Linked DNA regions of Rattus norvegicus. The protein of the gene in region 3 binds, or shares a complex with, the protein of the main gene of each other region. Links are inferred from orthologs where the notes say so. Each region holds a gene or a part of one and is shown on either strand. Other genes may lie near its edges.

The links. The genes of interacting proteins can lie anywhere in the genome.
Region 1: Zbp1 (region 3) and Casp8 share a complex: the UniProt entries of both Homo sapiens proteins name them as parts of the AIM2 PANoptosome complex. The link is inferred for Rattus norvegicus from reciprocal best matches to the Homo sapiens genes ZBP1 and CASP8.
Region 2: Zbp1 (region 3) and Aim2 share a complex: the UniProt entries of both Homo sapiens proteins name them as parts of the AIM2 PANoptosome complex. The link is inferred for Rattus norvegicus from reciprocal best matches to the Homo sapiens genes ZBP1 and AIM2.

Annotation. Positions count from the first base shown.
Region 1 is NC_086027.1:67,789,006-67,792,570, reverse strand, and holds part of Casp8 (caspase-8), read right to left. Parts: intron 2,398-3,565; coding exon 2,292-2,397; intron 1,065-2,291; coding exon 926-1,064; intron 846-925; coding exon 792-845; exon of another isoform or gene 701-791; intron 1-700. UniProt on the Homo sapiens protein: Thiol protease that plays a key role in programmed cell death by acting as a molecular switch for apoptosis, necroptosis and pyroptosis, and is required to prevent tissue damage during embryonic development and adulthood.
Region 2 is NC_086031.1:88,433,107-88,436,671, reverse strand, and holds part of Aim2 (interferon-inducible protein AIM2), read right to left. Parts: intron 2,103-3,565; coding exon 1,951-2,102; intron 1,867-1,950; exon of another isoform or gene 1,827-1,866; coding exon of another isoform or gene 1,683-1,826; intron 725-1,682; coding exon 305-724; intron 1-304. UniProt on the Homo sapiens protein: Sensor component of the AIM2 inflammasome, which mediates inflammasome activation in response to the presence of double-stranded DNA (dsDNA) in the cytosol, leading to subsequent pyroptosis.
Region 3 is NC_086021.1:182,419,161-182,423,525, forward strand, and holds the start of Zbp1 (Z-DNA-binding protein 1), read right to left. Parts: upstream 2,858-4,365; coding exon 2,824-2,857; intron 1,207-2,823; coding exon 967-1,206; intron 13-966; coding exon 1-12.

The sequences.
Region 1 (3,565 bases), on a different chromosome or scaffold from region 3:
ACAGACTGAACCTCTGAACTGTTAGCCAGCCCCAGTTAAATGTTTTCTTTTATAAGAATTGCTGTGGTCACGGTGTCTCTTCACAGTAATAGAACTCCTAACTGAGACACCCTGCTCCAACAACAAAACGTTGGAGGAACCCTTCTGTTTGTTCTACCTCGACTCCTAGGTAAGAAAGCAGAGGACAGGGATGAGATAGGCAACTTGGCTTGAGTATACTAGGGTGAGGCAGGCACACAATGGAGGAACGCGGGCAAGTGTGAACCTGGGAGCCTGGACTTAACAGGAGACTAAAAGGACTATGCACACTTGGCTGAGGGGCGTCTCACAGAGCAGAGAAACTTGAAGAAACTTGAGTGCTCTGGAAAAAAGTCAGGTGTTGATCCTAACACTCAAGACAGAGTTAGGTAGTTTTCTGTGATTTCAAGGCCAGCCTGGTCCACATAGAGAGTTCCAAAACAACTAGGACTATGTAGAAAGACCCTGTCTCAACAAAACAAAAGAATGTTCAGGAAAATAATTCGAGTCTAGCTCCCTCCAACTCTCTTCAAAAGCAGAGGCCAGAGCAGAGTTAAGACCCTCTTATAGAGTAACTGTGGGTTCACTTCAGATGTTTCCATGGGGCTGTCAGAGAGCTGCAGAGGTGACAAGCAGAGGTGACAAGCAGAGGTGGCAAGTAGCCACTGAACTTTCATCTTACTCAGGATGTGGCAGAAGGTGGTGGGAAGAGGAAGAGAGGAAATCGGAAACCAAGCACCTCAGAATCTAAGGAGTGTATCTGCAGGCATTACCATCCAAAACAGAAACTGGCAGCTCTTCCCCTCCTTCAGTGCTCATTCTTCTCTCTGAATTGAAAAAGAAAAACTTGATCAGAAACAGCTGTTTCTCTGAGGGCTTTGCTGACTCGCAGTGGTTAGCTAGCTACCTGTGCTTGATCGTTCGTAATCGTCGATCCTTCCCAGCAAGCTCCTGTTGACCCGGAAACAGATTGATTTTAGGGTAACCAAGTTGTTTTCTGCCAGGATAGTCCTCTTCTCCATCTCTACGAAAATATCAAGCAGGCTCTGTGGAGGAGAGCGAAAGCATGAATGGCTGGGGGCGCACGGGCTTTGGGATTAGGGGCTTGGTTTAGTCCCCACTTCTTCAGCCTTATTTCTCAAGTAGATCCCCCTCCCTCCTCCAAGCACGTCCTGATCTCTCACAGTTGACAGTAATCAGGAAGGCCTAAAAGTATTTTAAAAGATGGGAAGATGAAGAAACCATGTCAGGTGTCACCCAGTCCCCAGGTCTTGTTCTCAAACAGTATGAGAAAGGCTTCCTCTATGGACCAGCCTGAGGAATGTGGATGGGACAGTCCTGGAGATTTCATTCTACCCCGTATTGCCCCTGGTACCTTATCTACTTCTAAACCTTAGTTAATACACACAGAGTCACGGGCACCAAACACACAGAGAGATGCCACACACCTGTGTTCGCGTGTATCCGAAACAAATGCACAGAGATATATCTGGACAAAGCATACATCAAATTTAGACACAGCACACAAAGACACACTGATTCACAGAGTAAGAAAAACCCACACACAGAGGCACCACACATGTATAGACTCAGACCAACAAAGAAGCCACACAGGGGTACACACACTCAGGCACATACACCACACATATACATAAGAAACACCCACAATATACACAACATGTAGACACAGACACATACATCATACAACCTACTCGTAAAGACACATAATGCACACTGGGGCAGGGGCGAGGGGTAGACAAACAAGCAAATATGATGTGTTTCAAGGGCAGCAGAAGTGGGGAAATGTGACCCGCGGCTACCTTTTCCCCTTGGCTGGGTCCCCTGTGTTGTTGAACAGCATGCCTTGCTCTCTCAGGCGCTGCCCCATGGGGCTGAGCAAGACACTTCACTGTGCTGAGGCACTAGAGCCGTAACTACCTTTCCTAACCACTCTCTTCCTGTGAGAACACAGGGGATAGCTCAGTGGGCAGAGCGCTTGCCTACTGTGCAGAAAGTTCTGAGTTCCACATCCTGGAACCATATAAATCAGGAGGCGTGGCACAGGTCAGTAATCCCAACACCCAGGAGGTAAATGCAGGAAGATCAGAAGTTTTGGGTCAACCTTGGCTACATAGCAAGTTTGGATTTAGCCTGGGCTACATGATTCCGTGTCTCAAAACAACAACAATGCAGCCTTGAATACAGTTTGTGGTTAGCAGTGCTCTCTGGTCTCAGAAACCCTGGTGACCCATCTTCAGGAGACTAGGTCTTACCGAGTTGTCTTGCAGTTTACATTTAGGGATCTCAGTGATCAAAAGGAACTTAAAAGATTTCAAATCCTCCTTGTCCATGTCTTCTGAGAGCTTAAAGAGCATAACCCTATGGCAGGAAACAGAGACACTTTAGAAACAGGTTCTAGATCTCACCACTACACCATTATAGAAGGCTTCACTCCCAGGGCCTCCATAAAATAGCCAACTATTCCTGACTGGTGAGCCCCAGGAGGAGGCTGCCATAGTGGTGGACGTCTACAGAGTCGGGTCCAACCAACCCATTGGAGAGAAGTCCTACCACATTTGAATCCTGACTAACTTTAACTGAAAGAATCTTGATGCTCCTACGTTGATATAGGTCAAGATCCAGGTGCAAGGATTTGGGGAAATTTTATTCTCCACAGTGCACATCGAGCTGACTCCCTTCCAAGCACGGATCCATGTTCTCTCACAATTTCCTTCTGGAAGAAGGTTGAATATTTGGTTCTAGAATAAAAGGGGGTCTGAACACACACACACACACACACACACACACACACACACACACACACACACACACTTCCTCCCACTCTAGCCAACACCAAAGGCTCTCAACACAACCAGCTGCCCTGTGTTCTGCCACCAAATATTCCCTGTGTTGTGTGCATGCATCGCCCACCTACAATCACACCACGTTGCCAGGGTGTACTCAGGGCTCTGTTCTTTCACTGAACCTTCATTCATTACCCTCCCTCCCACCCCACCAGGGAGAACTCATATGGCAACAGTCTGTTTATAAACTCCTGGAGTCCCCTCACAGCCCAGCCCATGCCTTTTTTTCACTTTCATTAACCTGAGATTTGTGAGGTGCAATGTTTGAGGAGCCCCAGACTACAAACACATCTTATAGGCAGGGCAAAACTTTGTGGGTGGGCTGACATCCCCATCCTTCCACTGGAAGTCATGCCTGGCTATAGGAGGTGGCCACTTCCAGGCAGGGTGAGGTGTTTTTGTGCTGCTTCCCATAATAACAACCCTTCCCACCTACTTGTGTACGCAACCCTTCTGTGGCTTTAAGTGTGAGCCACCATGATACACACAGATGTGTGAACCTGCCTTCTTATTAATTCAGGCCTGCACCCACCCTCCCAGCGCCCCCCCCCAGCTCCTCTCCCCCCCCTCGCCACCAGGGCAGGGGTAATGCAAAGAATTTCCGGTTTATTTCAAGAAGTGAAACGCCCCCCCCCCCAAAAAAGTGAGCACACCTCTAGATTTTTCCATTTCCCCTCCCCTTG
Region 2 (3,565 bases), on a different chromosome or scaffold from region 3:
GTGCATGCCACACAGGAGAAAGCTACACAGTAAGACCATGTCTCCAAAAGCAGAACAATCAAAATAACAAAATAAAAATTTCCCAGCTTTGTACACAAGTTTTGGCAAATTACCACCCTACAAACCCTTAACTTTGTGTAAAAAAAATTGTTAAAACTATTTAAAATCAACTCTTAAATTTATTTTTATTGTTTTATCTTTTATTTAGGGTGAAAACATTGAAAGTTAATTTCTAAAGTTCCAATAGGTGTTATATGTTATATTATTCTTACTGATCAATATAAAATTGCATATAGGAACTTACCTTCTGGACTTTAAATAAGCCATTCACAATTGTCCCGCACGGCAGAGTTTTCAGTTTACTAATCTTAGGAGTTTCTCCAGCTTTCTTCATAATGTTATTAGGAACGCAGACTTTGTGGCTAGATTCAACATCAACCACAACTGAGGAACTGGTGACCTCCACAAAGTAACTGTGACGGAGATAATTTGATATTTGAATTGTTCTCTTTGGAATAAATTTATCTTTAAACTGTGCATTTAAAACTTTTACAAAGAAAAATTCTGTCTCTGTGGCCACTGTGGCATGGAATATCTTTTGTTTTCCTTCCTGGGTCTCACACTCAAAGGGATTCATAGCTTTCAGCACCATGACTACTAGTGAATCTTGCTGTAAATCTTCTCTGATGGCTTCCTGTTCTGCCACCATCTGTTTCTTCTGAGGCTGTGACAAGAGAAAGAAGATGTTAGCTATGGATCCACTCAGGCAGCCTTCATTCTCAGGAAGGCCCCAGAAACAAAGAAGCTGAGCTGAAGGGAAAATGGAGACGTTAGGAAGAGAGTAGAGACTTGAAACTACCTAGATTGAAAGGACATCAAAGGAATGCTCTGCGCTCAGTATTCAGATGGGGCAGTGCACTGACTCTGGAGACAAAATTCCTGAATCAGAACCCTTCTTTGCTATGAAAAGACTGTGTCAGACACCCGAATCATTGTGAGGGGCTGAATTAGATTCTATCTCCTTGTGATTCTATGACAGCATAGTTTTCCCTCCAATGCTGAGCATTTATTTGGCTCTTCAATAAGTGGTGTGCACAGAGCTCCCGCACTGAGAACTACTTTAGAATATGTCTTCAGTCCTAGGCATTTTATTTGGATTTTTCAGAGACTATACAATATGTATTTTTATGTCTACTTGTTCAATTGTAACATTTAAACTTGGGTACTGTATTGTTTTCTTGACAATTCTGGAAATTTCTGAGCCAAACACAGAAGAAATGGTTGGGTGCTCTACATAGAATGGTGCCCATACCCTAAGCTGACTCCTCTGTAAAGTTACGTGACATTTTCATTACAGAAAATGAAATTGAAGATGCTTAGTGGATTTTGTGGTACATGCTACTTTATTAGGACTAAGGGACAAGGACTGTCTTCCAGTTTTATTCCCTCTGCTACAAAGAGCCATTTATTTCACCACAATAAGAGCAGGCACATCGTGACTAAAGGAACTGTCTTTTCTACCCACATCATGACAATCCTGAAGGGCATTCTTAGCCCCCAAGTCTCCCATGGATAGGTTGAACTCTTTGCTGCAATCTATTGAACTAGAACTCTCCCCGTTCTCTCTCATCCTAAACCTTCTCAAAAGAACTAGTGATAAGAGCACCCTGAAAATTACTCACTGTATAAGGTCCCGGCAGAGTTTTCTTCAAATAGAGGTTAACATAGCAACATGTTATTATGTCCAGAGCATGGCAGAAATTAGGAGCTTCCTGGGCATGGACACTGATAAATTTGAGTGACTTTTCTTTTTGTAATGCAGACATATCTTTCCTATAATAGCCTTGTTTTCTTGGTTTGTATGTTCTGAGACAAAGAGCAGAAGACTTTATGTGGTGGATGAGGGGATAGTGATGACAAAATGCTCTGATAAGAGTGGCACTAGCCTACCTTAACTTGAGGACAGACTTCTGTAGCAGAGTGTCCCTTGAAGTCTTTGTCACTGCAGGTGGCAGAAGCAACAGAACAGTTTTTAGCTTGACTTCTATTTTCTACTTTCTGTGTTCCTCTCTTCTTTGTATTTGTCACATATTTACTTTCAGCTGAAGAAGGAGGAGGAGGAGGAAGAGGCAGAGGAGAAGGAGAAAAGAAAGAAAAAAGAAGAAAAAGAAGAAAAAAAGAAGAAACAAGAAAAAGACACATTAAAATCTATGATAAGCATAGCTGAGAATTAGAATTCTCATTAGAATTCTAATTTTAATTAAAATATCATTAAAATACCATTAACTTTCAAGAAGAAAATTAGAAAGGAGACAGTGGCAGGGTGATGGATTAGAAGTTTCCCATCTTCAGGTCCTCACAGGAATACAACACATGACTATCCACAGACAGGCACATTGGGAAAATCTCTGAATGCAACAGAACCATAAGACTGAGAAAAGTTCCTCTAGAGATTGAGTGGAATGTTTTCATTTTTAACCACATTATCTCCCCCCCAAAATGGGACAGTACTGTATAGAGAGAACCCCATGGTTCTACAACTTCGATGGTGAGGATGAAGGGCAGGGAGTGCCCATGTGGCACCCCACTATAATGTAGGCATTGTAGAAGGTTTATTCTCACCTCATCCCTTAAGAAATATTGAATACACTGGCAAGACTAGAATAACAGGGATAAGTTAGACATAAACAAAATGAAGTGGGTCTTACTGTGGAGTCACCCAAACAGAATATCCAATAGCACCTTTAAGAGCCTCATGCAACAGATCTGTTGGCTTTGAATCATAGTCAACTTTCCTATGGTCTTACTACTCTGTAAAAGACCTGAGACTTGCTGGGTAAGGGTATACACATATGCATGTGTGTAGAGCACAGCATCCAAATCTGCCTTTCCTCCACTGTGGAATGCTGACCCCACCCAGCCTCAGAGCAACATATCAGGCTTCCTGAAGGTTATAGGCAATCTCATGCACACAAATGTCTTTGAAAGGAACCATCTGACATTGCTAGCCACAGCCTATTGAGAAAATCACACCACTCAGCCCCAGTGTTTGAAAAAAAGGGGGGGGGGCTTCTTGCTAAAGGCAAGTGTGTCCAATATTTCTTTGGAGTAGAGTACCTGGTCTCCCCAAACCTAGTGACCGAGAAGTGATGAGAGTGACGAGCCTGCGGTTCAGCGTGAGCCAAACTGGGATAAAAGTCTACGATTTTATTTTATACATGGGTGTGTGGGGTGGGCTGGTGTGGGGTGTGTGTGTGTGTGTGTGTGTGTGTGTGTGTGTGTGTGTGGTCGTCTCAGGTCATGCCCATACCAAGTGTCCCAGCAGCAGCATCCTTCCCATCCTCAGACCCCAATCTTCGGCCATACACAAATGGAGAATCTAAGTAGCAATGCTGCCCATTTAGGACCTTTATCCTGCAAACTTAGTTAATTAAAGAGGATCAAAGACTCTAGCCAGCAGCTCCACCTCACTGCTAAGTCCAGTTAGTGATCTTATTAAACCATACAATGTAGTTAATATTTTTATTTGACCACAGAATACAAGCAGCCACCCGGTCCAATCGGA
Region 3 (4,365 bases):
ATATCCTTTCTTCTGCAAAGCAGGAGGCAGGTGCTTCGTGGGAAGAGAGCCCTGGGCTTGCATCTACCCACCACCTACTGCCTGTGGCCTGGGATACTCGTGAAGCCCAGGGACATGGCGAGGGTCTGTCAGAAGCACATATTGGGTCATCTTGGGGACAGTGGTCCTCTGGAGACCAAGCGGATGAGGCTCTCACCCTAGAGACTGGCGCAGACTGACGCAGGGGTGTCAGAGCCCACATCTCACCATTTAGAACCTCTCTCTTCTAACAGTGAGTCTGGCCTCTGACACTCCCATGGAGCTTCAGGGGTCTGGGGAGGCCTCCAGCATGCACCGAGATGCAGGCCAGGACTCTCTGGAGCTGCACCCACATCTCATTAGGGTCTTGGGACTGGAAGAAGGATGTGTCAGTTGAAGACAGGAGATGCCCTGCTCCATTAAAAACAGAATAGTTTCTCCGGAGAGCTGGGGGACAGCACATTAGGCTGGGTCCCAGGGCTTCCGATCTGCTTGGGTCATGGATGCTGTCTGTTGAAGGTTGAGGCTGCTTCCTTTCCTGTCTCTGTCTGAGGGTTGAATGAAGGCAAGATGGCTCTGGTGTGGGGGGGGGGGGGGCGGGGGCAGTGTCAGCACTTGGAACTGTGGGTCCTTTCTTCTCCGTGGCTCTCAAAGTCACCCGAAGGCTCTGAGTGAATCCTTACTTACCGTCAGCCCTCACTCTCGCTGTGACTATTGCCTGGGTTGTGTCTTTGACCCTGCTGTTGTCTACTGCAAGCCTTCTATGGCTAAGCCCTAGGCTCAACATTAGCTCCATTGGCCGGGAGAAATCCAGAGACAGAGAGGGGATGGCCGAGCTCAGATTTGAAGCCAAGCCTGAATCTGGGCTTGCCTATGACAAGATGGCTCTTAAGGGGTGTATGTGGTGGTGGGGGGAGGGGCTTCTGCTCTGCCGACGTGACAGATTACCAAGGCTAGGCTGGGCAGCGGAGTCCTCAGGGATCTCGGGAGCCCCATCTCCGGAAGCCCCATCTCCACCTAAGGACCACGTCGCTGGCGCCGGCGAGGACACTCGGCCCTCTTTCTTCAGGCGGTAAAGGACTTGGTTGAGGATTTTCTTGGGCACTTGTAACTTCTTCAACAGCTGGTCGATCTGCACAGGACTACCAGCATCACTCAACACCTGCAGGATCTTCTGCTCCAGGTTGTCTCGGGGAGGAACACAGAGAAGAACTGAGTCAAGCCTAGTCCCCGGGGACACCCTGCATCCAAGCTTCCGGGCACAGGAGGGATCTCCGGAGAGACCCTAGAGCAGAGAAGGCACCCGTGACCTGGGCCAAGCAGACAGTAAGCGAGGATACCAGTCGGAGGCGAGGGTGTCAGTCAGGTGAACGCTGGCTCCACAGATAGATGTCTGGAGTGGTAAAGTCATATGCAGCCTGCCCTGTGTACTATGTGGAAGTCAAGCAGGTAGGAACCCTCAGCCCTCAGACGATGGAGCAAGAGGGAGAGGTGTGAAACCAAGTCTGGCCCTGAAGTCCCTCCGTGGTGTCTTGATGTCTCTCCCAGCCCGGCCAGGGACTCCCTTTCTCTCCAGCTCAGCACCCACATCTATGGTGTGGGTGTTCCCAGGTCAGGAGTCCAGCAGATAAGAGAAATGGGTCTCTCCTCCCATGCCTGATAGAGCAGGAGCCCCGGAAAACCCAGCTCAGTTCTTTTACCTGGGCCTTGAAGCCATCTTCCAGATGGCCACCAACTCCAGAAAGCTTGCCCCCAGATCCCTCCACCGGGAGCTTCGATGGGCCTCTGCTAGCCAACCAGCCTCCTCTGTGCCTAACCCCGAGGGTCCCCCAAGTCCCACCTCATGCTCCTTTCAGCAGGTTCGTCTGCTTGTCCGTGTGTCTGCCTTTAACTTTCTTTCTTTCCTCTCCTGACAAAGTCTTACCATATAGCTCAGGCTAGCTTGAAATTCACAGCAATCCTCCTGCTTCAGCCCCAGATCCACCCCCACTGCAGTGCTGGAATTAGAGGACTTAGCATCTCTATTCCTGGGTTGGCTTTGCCTTGCCTTGAGAAACCTTTGCTGGGGAGTGTGTCGTGTAGCAGGCTCCCCTCCCCTCCCCTCCCCCACTGACCCCTAAAGACACACAAGAGAGGCAAAGCCTTCCCCAAAGGGTGGGCTTGAAGGACTGGTTGCAGGGTCTGAAAGCGGGACGTTAGGAAGCAGAAGACTGGAGTTGGTAAGGCTGGACAGGTTAGTAGTGTTAGGAAACTACAGGAGTCAGGCGAGTTTTAGTTCCTGGTCTTCTTTGCCCAGGAAAGAAACTGGCACCTGGCCTGGCCCCTCCCTGATAGCTTATGAGCAGCAACTTCTAGTATGTTTCCAGGTCTGAAATAAGAAAGGATAACCCAGAAGGACCTAGACAAGCAGTAAATTAAATCCTGTCCACAGCATCGCAGCCTCACACAGCCCTGCACCCCGTAGCCTCCCATAGCCCAGAAGCCCCTAGATGGACTACATGATTGCAGCAAGGATTTGACTAGGGCAGGAGAAAAGCTTGACTACAAAATCAAAGTCACATCTTCCTATCAAAGCAAAGTCCTCTCTCGAGATGACAGTTCAGAGCCCCAGGCCTGTCACAGGCCTTGGTGACCTCATCTATGAGGTAAGAGGACATGAAGGATCTGGGGCACAGGATCCCTGAAGCAAGCTGACTTCTCTGTGGTGACCTCAGAGTCCTGCTGCCGTCTGGGCTAAGGAAACAGCCAGGAGCCGTAGAAACTTCACCCAGGACCCAAAGGTGGTGAAGGAAGAGTTTAACTTACCTCCCGTGCCCAGGTCCACAGAAGCCTCCGCCATGCTCCCAGCAGCCGTGGGGCACTTTTAGGGGTGGGGGTGGCAGGTCCCAGCACTGTGGCCAGGCCTGGGGCTCTGAGTCCACAAGAAAGAATGCTTGTTTGGACCTGCAGACACCAGCTGTTACCACCCCGGAAACTAATACCCATCTGGCTGCACCCCTTCCCCGCCCTCTGGCTTTCTGAAGAAACAGAAAATGAAACTTTGGTGTGATTCTCGAATGAAAGAATTGTCAAAATCAGGGTGGATGAGGAAGCTGGAGTTGGACAGACCATGTGACAGAAAAGAGCGGGGTCTTGGCCTCTGGGGTGGGACTGCCCACGGGAAGAGTGAGACCTGAAGAGGACTCTGAAAGCCCTGTGAGGAGGAAGATGGTGATCTAGGAAAAGGCACCCACGGTGCCTCTCCTGCCTGGTCTAGTACTGTCTACCCACATATGTTTTAGAAGAAGAGACAGACTCCTTTCACTTTCATAAATTCTCAGCGGCCCGAGAACAGTTCAGACACCTCTCTGTCCATATTACGGGAGAGGGGGATGGAGACTCACAGAGATGGCCTTGTGTTCACCACTCAGCCCATAATAATCCCTGAATCTGGGTCCCAGCTACAGGGTGGGGGGACCTGTCTGGTGTGCAGGTCCCTGGTGCACAGGGCGGGACAGGAACAGTCAATGGAGACCAGAAGGAGGTGATGTCTGCAAAGCAAGCAGCTGGCAGCAGGTCCCCAGTCAGCTTTACCTCTCGGAGCCTGAAAAGGTCACCAGGCAGGCCACCATCAGGCCAGATCCGCACAGCTTGGGAAAACTTTAACATTTCCAAGTGCTTTTTATGACTTCCAGGGAGGAAAAACAGTGCCTGCAGAACCAGCCAAGGAAAACAGAAACTGCACTGCCTGTGGCACCCAAAATAAATAAGGTGGCTTTTAAACAAGCTCTCAACCTGGCCTGTTGGGGGACATTGCCCCAGTTCCCTAGAGATGTCATTTTGGAGACTGACCACTAGGTGGTGCCTGCTCACCAACCGCCTGTTGCCCAGGGGGTCTTGCTTGATCCCTGGCCAAGGTGGCTTCAGACTTAACCGGGCTTCAGGACATGCCCGCTTTCCTCGCTTCTTTCTTGAGCATCCTTTACAGGTCTTCCCTTCTGTTCCTTACATTAGCAGACCTGGAAGGAGTCAGGGCCTCCTAGGTCAGCGGTTCTCAACTGTCCTAACTCTGCAACCTTTTAATACAGTTCCTCACGCTGTGGTGATTCCCCAGCCATAGGAATTACCTTCGTCAACACTTCCTGACTGGGATTTGGCTACTGTTATGTAACTGTAACGTAATGTAAAGATCTGTGCTTTCCAAGGGTCTTAGGCGACCCCTCTAAAAATGTCCCTCAACCCGCAGAGTACTCTATACATAATATATAAATCTTAAGACTATGAAAGATTTATTTATTGATTGATTTTAGGTATGTGAGGGCTCTATCTGCATATACCCTGCAGGCCAGAAGAGGGCATCAGATCCCA